Caenorhabditis elegans: one gene and its partner. The protein of the gene in region 1 interacts with the protein of each later gene in a pairwise test. Each region holds a gene or a part of one and is shown in the gene's direction. Other genes may lie near its edges.

Region 1 (8,019 bases):
AAATTTCTGAAGTTTACGTGTATGTACCATAAATTTTCGATACAATTTCTCAATAAATAGGTTTCCCGTTTTTTTTTTCCAGATTCTCTCCGCAATTCTTGCAATTGAATGGACTTTGTGGAATGAAGATCCATTGGAGCCCATGACCCATTGCCTTGTATACTCTACATCTGCATCAATTGGAGAAAGAATGTATATCGTGTTCCTGGGAATACTTGTTGTTGACATTTTTATATTGGCCGTTTTTCTAGCTTTATACCAAAATAACAAACGAAAAATATTGTAAGTAATGTAAATGTGAAATAATCAACTACATATATCTTTGATCAGATCCTCCGGGCTTAACAAAAAGTATCAGCAACATGAGAACTTGGTAGTGTTAAGAGCTCTCTTTCCAATGGTCTTGTTGAATACTGTCTTTGTTTCTGCCTATATTTTAATTGCCATGGTAGTAAGAGCATTCCGAGACTCTCTTAGTCTCACAAATTATAAATTTATCGCGATTAACACATTTGTAAGTTATTACTATCTGGTAAAGCATTTCAAAATTGAGATTTCAGATATTTCCTTACGTGTCATTGCTACTTTCTATGACAATTTTGGTGACCACCAGGAACGAGTTCCAGAGAAGACAACTCCGAGAGCTGAACCAAAATGGGAAAGGAGTATCGCAAACTTATTTCAATCTATATCAGCGGCAATGGAGCGTTATTTCCGAGAGAAAATGAATTTATCATAAATATTTTGTGACTAGAAATTGTGTGAATAATGTAAATTCGGGTCATCGTTTTTTTTTAATTGTATAAATTTAATTAATGAATATATATTTTTTTAATTTCTTATTCTGCATATTTTATATAAAAAGTGTTCTATTATTTGTTGGATTGTTGTTTTTAGGGCTATTAAATAGGGCATTTTCTCAATTTTTATATCATAGAGCGCGTATATGGATTTGTTTTTTTTTTTGTTGAAAAAAAAGAAAAACTAAAGCTGTTCTTTAAAATAATTTAAATAGGTATGTATGTATTTGAATATGTGGTTGAATAAAAGCAACAAATACGTGGTTTTGTAGCAATTTTCAGAAAATAGCTAAGCCAGAATACTTCCGTTGTTACATCTTGTCCTATAATCATTTTCAAACAAATTGTTCAGTTTTGTGGGTTCGGTTAAAAGATATAACATGATAAGGTTTCGATCTGATATGATCGGAACACGTTTTCTGTTTTCACTTTTTCAATCACAGACGACTATGTCTGCCATCCTCTTGTCTTACTCTAACATCATTTGAAAAATCTTAAATTGATTAGGTTTTTTGTGGAATTTTAAAGATAGCTTAGTATTGAAATTTTTTTGAATGTTACAATTGGAGTGGCATGGATTCATTGAGATGGGTTCCACCGCAAAAATAATGTTTATACCTACTTCAAATTTTTTGGGGATATTCTTTAAAACTTCTAAAAAGGGAAACGAGCAGTCGAAAAATAAGAAAAAATGCAAAAAATTATAGTTTTGTTTCTAAAAAATTGAAATGTATTTGATATCAAATTTGATAAATATGCTATTATAATGAGTTTTACCGGCATTTCGAAGTTTTCCTTCCTTGAATTTAGTTACTTTCCAAATTTACATCATAAATCTCTTTCTTATAAAATAAAAATTCATCTCTACACAAAACAATGTTCAAAAGAGCATCAAAAAGAGCACTTTGTTCGTGAGATGTGAAGAGAAAGGGTCAACACATGTTATTTATCACCGTAAGTCCGTTGAGGGGCCGCCACTATACGGGTTGAAAAGACGAGAGATACACCCCGCAAAAGAGACCCAGAGAGTGCGATGGAGCGCGTTTGCATTTCTTACTCAGTGTTCACCCGTTCTATCGATTCCATCGACAGTATTTTTAAACTCCACAGGGTTATTAATTACTAAAAATGTGTTATTTGAGAATTTATTGATTTTGAATTTTTCTCAATTTTTTTTGTTAAAAATTTATCGAATATGTTCACCGAATACAGTATTTTTTCAGAAAATGGAACCTGGTTCGGGTTCTCCGTTATCGGCTCGAGCGAAATTTCAATTCGAAGGTTCAAATAACGATGAGGTGAGGTTTTGTTTCCCACACATTCAAACTTGTGAAATTTTTTTTTAATTTAAAAAATAGTACATACTTAAATTACTTTTTGACAAAAGTATCATTCCACGAATTTTCAGCTAAGTTTCGACAAGGATGACATCATCACAATAACACAGCAGCAAGAAGGCGGATGGTGGGAAGGAACACATGAAGGAGTGACCGGATGGTTTCCGTGTGCCTATGTAACTCTCATCACAGAAAAAGGTAACTTGAATCGGAAAATTCGAGCTAATACCCACAAATTGCAGACAAACTCCAGCGATCTCGATCCGTCCCAAATGCAACTGCAAAAGGTATATCTCATGAAGATTTACTCGTTGAGACAATTCAAATTTAAAAATTCAGAAGTGGTATCCGTCGGAGCTCAACCAGATTATCGAGACCTTGTGCTCAAAAGTTATATTGAATCGGAAAAGGAGTACATGCAAAGCTTGCTCAAAACGTTGCAATCTCTATTGATTCCAATTGGGGCATCTAAAATGTGAGTTTTAAAATGTTTTTTTTAACTTTCAAAATGTGAATTTAATTCATTGCGGATTTTTCTTATTGCTTTTTTTGTTGATCAATCCAGATTCTAAAAATTGATAACTTGAAATTTGGAATGATGGGCACCTCTGCGCTATGAAAAAAAGTATCTTAAAAAGTGGGGCGAGTAGCTCACTGTTTCAAAATACAGTCACAGGTCCCATTTTTCAAAAAAAAATTGAGTCTAGCTAAAGCTTTAAAAAAGTATACCTAAATTATTACCTAAATTATTCATATTTATTTACAATTTACTTTGAGATTTACATTGAGAAAAACATCAAGTTCCATTGCATTTCCGGTGGATTTTCATTTTTGGGTACGACAATAATACATTTTTGACAATTTTCAGCTTGACGGCTCCAGAATACTGTACGTTGGTTGGGAATTTCGAAGTAATTTACACTCTGAAACGTGATCTTTTTGAACAACTGGAGCGTGAGCAAAAGTGAGTTTTAATTTCTCCAACCTTCTTCAACTTTCTTATTTCAGTGAGGAGCTTCCAAAAATGAGAGTCGGTGGAATGTTCATGAATGCTGCTCTTGAGCTCAGAACGGCACTAATGAGTTATGCTGACAATCATCCAGACGCTGTCGAAGTTCTCAAGAAGAAACAGTAAGTTTTGACAGAGCTAGAGAATGTATCGAATGTATTGTTTCGCGTTTTCAGGAAGGAGTTGGAAAAGGTGGTAAAGTCGCAGGATCGGGAGTACAAGGAATTGGTGTTAGGACTCAGTGAGCCACTCCGGCACGTCGAGAGGTACTACAACTTGCTCCAGGAGCTTGAGCGAATTGTTCCGGTGAGTATTTGAATCTAAATGAGAAAAAAAAACATAGGTCAATCGATTCATTAAACTCTGGAATTTTTTTTCATAGAGAAAGCACAGTTGTTTAATTAAAATACATCATTTTTGTGAAAATTTTATTATGATAATTTTTTTATGTTAAATTATCAAGTCTACTCATGTGAACAAACGTTGTTAATGCATAATAATTTTTATATCATTTTGAGTCAATGAGATCATCATCAAAAAAATTTTCAGGCGAATCATCCGGACCGTGGAGATTTACAACGTGGATCGGCAGTTTTTCGGGAAACAAAGGTGCGTTGTTTTAAAAATATTAGAAACACAAATCTAACTGACTCACAAGAATTAGGATCAACAAGTTTTAAAATCAAACTATTTTTAGGATTTGTGTGAAACCCTTCGTAAGCAGAAAGAAGCCCAACTCGACTTCTTGTTTGTGTCAAAAGTGGACAAGGTGGTTTCAGCGTCAGAACGAGGATCTATTCTCTATGTGGGTGTTGCAAATGTGGAATACAAGAAAGCGGATGCAGTGGATCGGTGAGTTGCCGAAAATTTTACCTGTTCAAATTTAGAAGTGATTTCAGATTCGTGGCATTGTTCACTAAATACATTATGTTTTTCGAAGTCACCAAGGATATGACATACGACATTAAGGAGAAGTTTACAGTGTCCGGTTTTATTGTTCGGAAAAAGGAAGCTACTGAAATTTCATTTGGTAAAATATTCGGATAAAAAATTAAAATTAAAAAAAAAAACAAATTAGTAACCCAAGTTTTTCTAGATCGCCCCAACACTGGAGAATTCACTCTAACGATGGTTTCAACCGGGGGTGAGGTGGAGAGATTCCTTGTTGCTTTGGCGAAAGCTGAAAACGTGGCAATCATCACTCCGACGACAACTATCTTGAGGAGACCTTCCAAAAATGCTAACGATACAATGAATCAATCACAGACTCAAGGAGCAGAGACTCCTCTGGTCGCAAAACCCCCACTTCATCCCCCAGGAAACTCGGATCAACAGTATAGTATGATGAACAAAAGAAAAAGCTCGAAGAAGTGAGTGTTTTCATGTTAACCGTGTAAAATTGGAATGAACAGACAATTATCAAAAATGTCTTCGCAACGTTTAACCCTCAATTATTTTCGATTAAGTTATATTTCTTTTCGCCGCCCGGTTAGCTCAGTCGGTAGAGCACCAGACTCTTAATCTGGTTCTCGCGGGTTCGAGCCCCGCATTGGGCTTAGTTTTTTGTTCGTTGCGATTGGTTTTCCTATTACAAGTATTTAAAGAAATTCCATGATTTGCCAAATTTTGAGATTAAATTCGTGATACCAGTTTGTATTATTCTCAAAACTTCAAAAGTAGTACCAAAACGGAAAAAAATTAAAAAAAATTTTTTTTGAATATTAAACACTGTATTGAAAAAAAACAGCGTGGCGTTTATGCACAGATTTAAAAAAACATAATTTTTGAAATCTGTTCAAACACGCTACGCAGTTTTTTCTCAGTGAAAGTGTACATACCACATACCGAGACGAACAAGTGGCGTCAATCACATTACTGTCCTTGAAAAACGTGACATATTTCTATTTGAAAGGTCGCACCACATCTACTTTTGCCGCCCGGTTAGCTCAGTCGGTAGAGCACCAGACTCTTAATCTGGTTGTCGCGGGTTCGAGCCCCGCATTGGGCTTACGCTTTTGTCTATCTCAAATGATCATTAAAAAAACTTTACTATAAAATTTACTCACTTTTCTAAATTGGGGTGCGAAGTTTCTAGGTGGAATATTTTTTCAACATTAAAGGAATTTTCTTATTAAATCCTATACACTTTTTGAAAGTATCGCTATTCAATTAATTTTCAATGTCGCGAGAAATCAATTTTGCCGGTTTGTTTATTTTAACAGTGTTGGCAACGACCGACGACCTAACAAATTTCAACACACTATTACACTAAAAAGTGCGAGACACTTCCTGACAGCCACAAAGTGCGCCTGACATTTTCACTTTTTAAATTACACGCGCCTCGGTTCCTATCGCCGCCCGGTTAGCTCAGTCGGTAGAGCACCAGACTCTTAATCTGGTTGTCGCGGGTTCGAGCCCCGCATTGGGCTTACCTTTTTTTGCATTTGTCCTCTAGACAAATGTATGCAAAAAGATATTGCAAATACGATTTTGATGGGATGGGATAGAGTATGAAGCGAAAAATTTGATGTAAATTACTACTTAGATTAATTGGTATTTATGTATTAGATGGACAAATCTCTTCTCACCAAAAATCTCTATGTTTTTCGATCCCTCGATTTTGGATAACAAGACTTGGCAACATTAACGCTCACCAATTTAGGCAACACAAGAAATTGTGTGTTCTTCACGGATCAAAACACGAAGACTTTCTAACTGTCGCATGTGAAATTTCGGACTCAATAGATCACGAAGAATAGTTCGTAACAGATACAATGGCTATTGAGATAGGAGAAATTAGGGTGAAAAGTTTTTTGTGTGGACAATATAAAAAATAATGATAAAAAACAAATAAAACATGGAACGAGACCTAAATTTTGAAATTTTCAGCTTTGATGACAGTTTAAACTTGGGAAATATGAAGTTCGATCATGAACTCGGAATGGTGCTCCCTGAAGGATTTGAGCTGCCAACAAGCAGTCGCAATTCAAGGAATACTGCAGGTAGGAGATATTTTGTTATTTATTGTTTTCTCTGTCGTGATTATGATTATCAACTAACAAAAATCTTTTTCAGATAACCTGCAATTCTCCCAGTTCCCATCGTTTTTCCTAAGCGGGAACGCCGGCAAACGAGGTGATCGTAACATTCGACTTCGAAAAGACGCGGCTCGTGATGAGGAGATTGAGTTTGAGACACTTCGAATTTTGGAAGGATACTGTGTGGAAACTGGTGGCGGACAGTCGGACTTCCATGCAAATGAAAGTTATCAACAACCACATTTGATTGTTGCAGAAGATGAGAAGATTCTGATGGAGGAGATGATTGGAGATGAAGTTGTTTTGCAAGAGAAGTAAGTTTTTTTTTGAACGATGAGACCTTAGAAGAGTCCAGTTCAGTTTTTCTAGGGTCAAGATTGTACACAATTTGTAAAAAAATTTAACCTTTTCGTTTCCTCTTCTCTTGCTGAATCATAGATATTAGGGTGGCGTATATGAAAAAATTGGGTGGGAAAATAACGGACGAATAGGAAAATCGATAATTGATTGATAAGAAAAACTAACTTCAGCAAACCTGAAATATCTAGAAACTTTGCAAAATTGGAATCCCCCCCCCCCCCCAAATTGATGTTTTTTTAGTAAAGAAGTTGATTTTTCTAAGGTTCTTTTAAAATTTCTGTTTTTTTTTTTCAAATATGTCCAGTGTTGATTCCCAAGTAGAGTAATTTGGGCACGTGGCTCAGCTTTGAACAATTTTTTAGTTCTCAATTCAAAACCGGCCAAAACGTTTTCCACTGTGTATTTAAAACTGAATGAGTTCTCAACTGATTTCGCATGGTTAAGAACGTGCTGACGTCACATTTTTAGCAACAAAAATCCCCCATATTTTGTAGATCAAACCGTAATCGGACAGCCTTGCACAACGTGCCAATAGTGATATTCCTAACAAGGCCCTTCATTTCGAAGCCAAAAAGAGATCAAACATTTACTTTCTGTAAAAATATAATTTTTGATCACCAGTAAATAATGATTGTTTTCATCTAGTCATGTTTGCTTCTTCTTTTTCTTCTTTTGTCTGTTTTGCATATCGTCCATTTTCAGTTATTATTTTTCGTACTGCTTTTAAAGAAAAGTAATAAGCTGACAAGGAAAAACAAGTATCCCCAAAGATAACAAGATGAAGAGGGGATAATTTTTGTAGAGACAATTTTTTGTAGTTTCCTTGTTTACTGATATTATTTGGTATTATAGTATTATAGCCGTTCATCGGAAATTGTTGTCTGATGAAAAACAGGACGTGAGTTGTTTTTTAGATAACTTTCAGTAGGATAGCTTGTTTTGTCATGTTTTCGACCTTTTTCGACCTTTAAGTGAAAACCATAACAATCTTTATTTCAAATTTCCCTTCACAAGTGTGTAATTTAAATAAATTTATAAGCTATTCTTCAACGAACATAAAAAGATTCGTGCATTTAGAAAACATTTCAAATTTATCTTTAAAACTTTATGTACATCGAACTTAGTTAGACATCGTCTATAAATCTGTCATTTTCATTCGTCGTACTCCTTGAGCACATCGGATGTATTTAGTTTGAACTTGAATAAGTGACCAGTATTTCCCAATGGTCAATTCGCTCTTGCTCCAACGACAATATCTATTCCTCCGACTTGCTCTCTCTTCGTCTATCTAGATTTCCGTTTCATTGCTCATTTGTCACCTCTTCTTTTTTTTTCAGAAGTATTGTGGATGCTGTGTACGCCATCAAAGATCAACTTTCGTTCCTTCAGACCGAATTTCAAAAACTAGCAAAAGTGAGTGAAAAATTCTTCTCTTCTGGTCTGTCACATCTAGCACCAATAATTTCATTTTTCCA
Region 2 (6,696 bases), 7.7 Mb from region 1:
TGCTGCTCACTGAGATTTCAGGAAGCTCCAAATGATAAGTGTCGAGAGGTCGAGATGTTAGGTGGTTGTCCAAGTTGTTCTATCTCTCTTACTCACATCTCTTACTCCCTCTTCACCCCTTCCTGTCGTGTATATGTGTGTGTGCGTATGTCTGGTTGTGTGTGTTCTTCTTCATTTGACCGCTATCGATTGATTTTATCTCCAACGACATCCTCCCCTCATCCGTCCGTTTTGCCCCTCCGCAGCTCTTTATCAATTGCCTTGGCCGCATCATCCGCGACCCACCGTACTAGTTATCTTTCTCTGTTTCCTCCATTCAATTGATAACACTAGAAAATGGCGCGCGTTCAACAAACACAGTGCCATTCTCCATTTCTAGCAAACAGTCCAGGTTTCGAACTGTTTTTTTTCTACATTGTGCAAAATGAGATTGGATTTCTTATCGACAGTGTAATAAAATCTTAGATACCTAGATTTTGTTTCTCATTTTTCTTTTTTTTTTTTCTTTCGGTTTTGTGATTTTCCTTTGGGTTTTTGCAGGTCTAGATTGTAAATATTCCCAAATTAACAGATTATGTAATGAGGATTCTCAAAAAATGTTCAACAATTTTTTATGGCGGTCTGAAATTTTAAAAACACCTAATTTTAATTAAAATTGGCTATTTTTTCATGTCTCAGCTGTTGGAAAATTTATTTTGAAGATTAGAATGTTTTTATTGCATATTGGTGATTTTCTTACATTATTTTGTTAATGAATGTACATTTAAAGCCCATACGTAATTGAAAATGGCCACAATCAACCCCCTATGATTTTTATGAGGTCTCATTATTAAATTTGTTCCTTTATGAACATTTTGAGTGCTTACAAGTAAAAACCCAAAACCGATACCCCTCCTTTAATCGAGAATAGTATTAGACCAAAAGTATCATCATTCACCGTTAGTATGAATGCAAACTTTTCAGCTTTTTTTCGGCTTTCACTTTCTAATTTCCTAAACTAGTTCTCAACATTGTCACTCACTCCGAACCTCGTTTCACAGTTTCTACTCTTTTCGGCTTCACACTTCTAGAACATTATCCGGCTGATTGCCACTTGGATGACAAGCGGGAAACAAGTACGCGAACACACGGTGGTGGGCGATAAAATGAAGTGAAACATGAATGACTCATATCATCACACTTTAAAAAAGATTCCCGTCTCTTCTTTTTCTCCTTTGAAAAATATTCCTTCTTCTTCCTCTGGCCCAGTTTATTCACCATCCATCATCTCCTAAACTTTGAAATCTTTCGTTTTGAAAACCAAAAAGCCATCTATCTTTTTCGGGTCAAACTCACGTCAGACGTTGGTTGCAGATAGGCTCTTTGAAGCAATAATGCAAATGAGAACTCCGAAGAAAAGGTCAAATTCTGGGTCCCACATTTTCCATAACTCCTACCCTGAGATTACTAAAAAAATATAGAAAAGCAATCCAATAGACGACCTCGAAAGGCGAAAGGGCCATGCTTTTTCGGTCCAAGATTACTCATAGCACTGGGTCAATGTCCTCTTTACACCATGTGTTGTGCATCCATTTCCCTGCCCGCTCCTATCAATTTCCTCTTTTGTTAGTCATAGTCCAACAATTTTTTTATAAGGGGGCGGTCAGCAATTTGTTCTTTCTTTTTCTGATTCTTTATTGTGATCGTTTTTCTATGTTTTTTTGACTCAACAAAACATGAATATTGGTTCCAATTTTCCTATTTTTCCAACAGTTTCGATTTCACTTGACAACGAAAATTCCTCCTAATTATTGTTTTCCTTTTTCAGTTTTACATTGCATACTGTATTCCTTCATTCTTTTTTGGTTTGATGCTTGTGTCTTCTTTTTCCAACAGTTTCAATTTTCCAGGCTTGCCAAAATGAAAGCTTTCTCATCGTATGATGAGAAACCACCAGCACCACCAATTCGTTTCAGCAGCTCGGCAACGAGGGAGAATCAGGTAATTAACTCGTCCCTCCACTCCTCCCCAAAGATGGGCGACAATCTTTCGAAGGTTCTTCTTCCAAATCAGATGATGCATGTGTTGCTTGCCCCTCTCCCACCCATCTCTATTTCTCTTTTTTCCATTCTCCATGTCTTGACTAACTCAATTTTTCAGGTCGTCGGATTGAAGCCATTGCCCAAAGAGCCAGAAGCAACCAAGAAAAAGAAGACGATGCCTAACCCGTTCATGAAAAGTAATATATTGCTCTTGTAACCATTCCTGATTTTCCTGTTTTTTTCAGAGAACAAAGACAAAAAGGAAGCGTCAGAAAAACCAGTGATCTCTCGACCGAGCAATTTCGAACACACAATTCATGTCGGATATGACCCAAAAACCGGCGAATTTACGGTCAGTATTTTTTCAAAAAGTTTTTGTAGCAGTTTTCCCACTCTTGCGTTACTTGCAAGATTATTTTCCAATGATGAACGAGTGATACAGCTGTCATTCTGACACCGGTCGCAACCGCTAATCGTACCAGATTAACGTGAATGCTAATAGTAAGCTAAAAACTAAAAACTACTACTTTTACTTTTTCCCTCAGTCAAAAAATCATTATAAACAAATCTCAATTTATAATAATATTTTGCAACCGTTAATTCAGTGCATTATCTTCTAAAAACGTGTTATTCTTGAAACCATGGTTAGTGTTAATAAAGCTTGCGTTTTTGAGACGTTTTAAGAAAACAAATCCATACGAGAAAAATTTAAGTGAAGCCAATTATCACGAACATGTATTCAACCAAAGATAGTTTCTTCTAAAGACCTATGAAATTGTCCCAATTTTTTTAGTATGAAGAGGTCTGTTTTGTCGAATAGACTTGAGAAACTACTGTAGAATCTTATTTATAAACTTTTCTCAGAAACTTTTGCTCCTTATCAACAATATAAATTTTCAGGGAATGCCTGAAGCATGGGCACGTCTTCTCACAGACTCACAGATCTCAAAACAAGAGCAGCAACAGAATCCTCAGGCAGTGTTGGACGCGCTCAAATACTACACACAAGGCGAAAGCAGCGGCCAGAAGTGGTTGCAGTACGATATGAGTAAGTAACCCGTAGTCAGTCTTGCTAATGGAGCTCATTCTTCTACAGTGTTTATAGATGACGCACCTTCTCGGACGCCATCATACGGACTGAAACCGCAACCATATAGCACATCATCCCTGCCGTATCATGGCAATAAAATTCAGGATCCAAGAAAGATGAATCCAATGACAACCAGTACAAGTAGTGCGGGGTATAACAGCAAGCAAGGAGTTCCTCCGACGACGTTTAGTGTAAATGAGAATAGATCGAGTATGCCACCGGTAAGTGGGAAGAATAATCTTGAAGTTCATATTGATTGCTTCAGAGTTATGCACCGCCACCGGTCCCCCATGGTGAAACTCCTGCTGATATTGTTCCTCCCGCTATCCCTGATAGGCCGGCAAGGACGTTGAGTATTGTGAGTAGAATTTTTGGTACTTGTGTATTACATGCCCTTAGTTTTAGAGTATTTTTTTAAGTTAAAAACAATAAAAACGTGTACCACATTTTTTATTTCTAGGTTTAGGAAATAATCTTTCTAAGCCTGGAGAGGAAAAATGTATATCACGTTTAAATTATATGGAGAAATGAATGAAAATTTAATTCAATTTCAAAATGAGGGCATGTAATACACAAGTACCGAATTTTTCCCAAGTTCTCTATAACATATAAGTATATTTTCAGTACACAAAACCGAAAGAGGAGGAAGAAAAAATTCCAGACCTTTCAAAAGGACAATTTGGTGTACAGGCCAGAGGTCAAAAAGCTAAGAAAAAGATGACTGACGCTGAAGTGCTGACTAAGCTCCGTACCATTGTGTCTATCGGAAATCCAGATCGAAAATATAGAAAAGTTGATAAAATCGGCTCAGGTGCATCTGGTTCTGTGTACACCGCTATTGAAATTAGTACCGAAGCGGAGGTGGCTATCAAGCAGATGAACCTGAAGGATCAACCAAAGAAGGAATTGATCATTAATGAGATTTTGGTGATGCGTGAGAATAAGCATGCAAATATTGTAAATTATTTGGATTCGTATTTGGTGTGCGATGAATTATGGGTAGTGATGGAGTATCTTGCCGGTGGATCATTGACTGATGTTGTCACGGAGTGCCAGATGGAGGATGGAATTATTGCAGCTGTTTGCAGAGAAGTTCTTCAAGCGCTTGAATTCCTCCACAGCCGCCACGTCATTCACAGAGATATTAAATCTGACAATATTCTTTTGGGAATGGATGGTTCGGTGAAATTGAGTAAGATTATAATTTTTAATGCTTTTGCAACCTACTTCTGTGAATTTCAGCCGACTTTGGATTCTGTGCTCAGCTCTCGCCGGAGCAAAGAAAACGCACGACAATGGTCGGAACTCCATACTGGGTGAGTGATGGAAATTGAAAAAGCGAATAGGAAATTAATGTTTGACAATTGCAGATGGCGCCGGAAGTGGTGACCCGCAAACAATACGGACCCAAGGTTGATGTGTGGTCCTTGGGAATCATGGCGATTGAGATGGTCGAAGGAGAACCGCCATATTTGAATGAAAATCCACTCAGGGTATGAAATATTTGCTTTTTTGAATTTAAGAAGACAACGCTTGATAATTGAAAAAAAAAACATGAATCTGAATATATGATTCCTTTCAATAACACTTGTGCTCGCAGAGTGTGAATGAGAAATGGAAATTTGTTGTTACAGCGATAAATTTGTTGCTTAATGAATTTCAAAAAAATCTAATTGGCCACTATTCCCTAGTAAGAATAGCAACCCCAGTTTTGCCCATAACGATCAGAAAATAATTTGGTTCAGGTTGAGGTCATGTTATTGAACAGGCGCCTAAGAAAAAATTTAGCAGAAACTTTACATTTTTCCGTAACTTCTCAGCTAACTTTAGCAACCAATCTCAAAAGTTGCAATAGTTGGGTAAAGTTGGTAAAAGTTAGGGATGACCCCCACCGCAAGATACAGATGTGCATTGAGAACTACCGAAAGCTGGGTAAACTTTGTTGAAAAATCGCTTAAGTTGAGAAGATTGAGACGTTGTTGAGAAGTTGCTGTAAAATGACGAGAAAGTTAAAGTTAAAGTTGTTTCAGCTATACTTAGGTTTTATAATTTTAGCTTAAAATTTCTCATCAATCAATATTGATCTTAAAAATATTTTTTTTCAGGCTATCTATCTCATTGCTACAAATGGCAAACCCGACTTCCCTGGAAGAGATTCCATGACTTTGTTGTTCAAGGTAAGAGAACTCGAGAACTTTCGAAACAGAAGATTTGATAAAAAAAATATTTGTTAACAGTTAGTCACAAATGTACAAAAGATGACTCAACTGCTACCGCAGTTTTACTTTACTTTCAGTACAGTATCAATTTCTCCCATTCTGTCCCAATTTCCAGGACTTTGTCGACTCTGCGTTGGAAGTACAAGTTGAAAATCGATGGTCGGCAAGCCAACTCCTTACGCATCCATTCCTCCGATGCGCCAAACCGCTTGCTTCACTGTACTACTTAATCGTTGCGGCGAAGAAGAGCATCGCCGAAGCTAGCAACTCATAATTATGATGATTGTATTCTCAATACACGACGTGTATTTCTTGTTCTTCTCAAATCTCAAGTCGTACTTACTTTGAAACTGTTTTCTTTTCTCTCCATCTCAAGTCATTTCTAACTATCTACTTTGAGCCCAACTTACCGTTTCCCAACAAAAAAGTCACACCTTAGTAATTTGTGTAATGTTTTCTGGAATCGATCACGAGTAAAAATTCAAGCCCCTTCATTATTTCACATCTTCCCCCTCTTTATCTCTTCTCGCAATGCACAATTTGGACTATCTCTTTTTTCTTGTTGTTGAGCGTTCCCAATCAGACGACACACTTCAATTATTTATGTAAGTTTTTTGTCTTCACTTTGTCTTCTTTTCATTCGGTTTCTTGCATTTGTGTCGTTCGAACGGAAATCTACAGTTAACCAGCTTTGCCCAAATTTCCCTATTTCTTTTTCAAGTGTCTGTAGGTGGGAACTATTGAAACTCTGTTTTCATGTGGTTTCCAATTTAAAAATCGGCCATAAGGTCAAAATCTTAAATTTTGTCTCATGACGTTTGAAACAATTGATCATGTTTAATAAAAGAGAGATGAATTTACTTATAGAATCAGAAAAGTTTTCAAAATAGTCAAATTTTGTTCAAGGAAATTGTACTATTTTCTTTTGAAAAATTATTTATTATTATTCCTGACCAGGTACATGGTATAAGGTAGTTTACCTCAAAAATTAGAAATGATAAATAGTTCATTTGAATGATTATGTTTAGACTATATATTTTATTCTAGAAATAGTTATTCTAGTAATTGCAGCAGCACAACTCAACTCCCACCACCACAATTTAGGTATATCTGAACTTTGTTGAGAGCAACTGTGCTAAAGGACACAAAAGTTACTCCAGAGGCTGATAATGTTGTCAGGCTGATTATTGATAATTTTAAAGGTTTTCAAGAACACGCACAACATATTTTAGCAAAACTTAAAAAATCAAGTCACATAACAAGTTGAATATGTGAATAATCCCTGTGAGTATTCTGGAACTATATTTTTCACCATAATAGTGATTGAAAGTTTCAGGAGCTTACAAATGTTTCATAGTGCTATAAT

The links. Proteins that work in one complex are often made in the same cells at the same time.
Region 2: the proteins of pix-1 (region 1) and pak-1 interact in a two-hybrid assay, tested with the Caenorhabditis elegans proteins (one study listed by BioGRID).

The regions. Positions count from the first base shown.
Region 1 is NC_003284.9:13,725,276-13,733,294, forward strand, and holds the start of pix-1 (SH3 domain-containing protein), read left to right. Parts: upstream 1-2,017; 5' UTR 2,018-2,026; coding exon 2,027-2,098; intron 2,099-2,208; coding exon 2,209-2,335; intron 2,336-2,379; coding exon 2,380-2,424; intron 2,425-2,476; coding exon 2,477-2,612; intron 2,613-3,005; coding exon 3,006-3,101; intron 3,102-3,145; coding exon 3,146-3,268; intron 3,269-3,322; coding exon 3,323-3,452; intron 3,453-3,695; coding exon 3,696-3,755; intron 3,756-3,843; coding exon 3,844-3,998; intron 3,999-4,045; coding exon 4,046-4,176; intron 4,177-4,242; coding exon 4,243-4,516; coding exon of another isoform or gene 4,517-4,520; intron 4,521-4,622; exon of another isoform or gene 4,623-4,711; intron 4,712-5,075; exon of another isoform or gene 5,076-5,165; intron 5,166-5,482; exon of another isoform or gene 5,483-5,592; intron 5,593-6,035; coding exon 6,036-6,148; intron 6,149-6,221; coding exon 6,222-6,498; intron 6,499-7,881; coding exon 7,882-7,957; intron 7,958-8,019. Other genes in the region: K11E4.6 (G_PROTEIN_RECEP_F1_2 domain-containing protein), read left to right, coding at 83-282, 331-514, 561-728.
Region 2 is NC_003284.9:6,043,802-6,050,497, reverse strand, and holds pak-1 (Serine/threonine-protein kinase pak-1), read left to right. Parts: upstream 1-1,893; 5' UTR 1,894-1,899; coding exon 1,900-1,980; intron 1,981-2,139; coding exon 2,140-2,218; intron 2,219-2,266; coding exon 2,267-2,373; intron 2,374-2,921; coding exon 2,922-3,069; intron 3,070-3,117; coding exon 3,118-3,332; intron 3,333-3,376; coding exon 3,377-3,469; exon of another isoform or gene 3,470-3,618; intron 3,619-3,735; coding exon 3,736-4,303; intron 4,304-4,353; coding exon 4,354-4,427; intron 4,428-4,481; coding exon 4,482-4,604; intron 4,605-5,216; coding exon 5,217-5,288; intron 5,289-5,445; coding exon 5,446-5,604; 3' UTR 5,605-6,189; downstream 6,190-6,696. UniProt on the Caenorhabditis elegans protein: Required for hypodermal cell fusion, together with cdc-42 and ced-10, leading to embryonic body elongation, which involves dramatic cytoskeletal reorganization.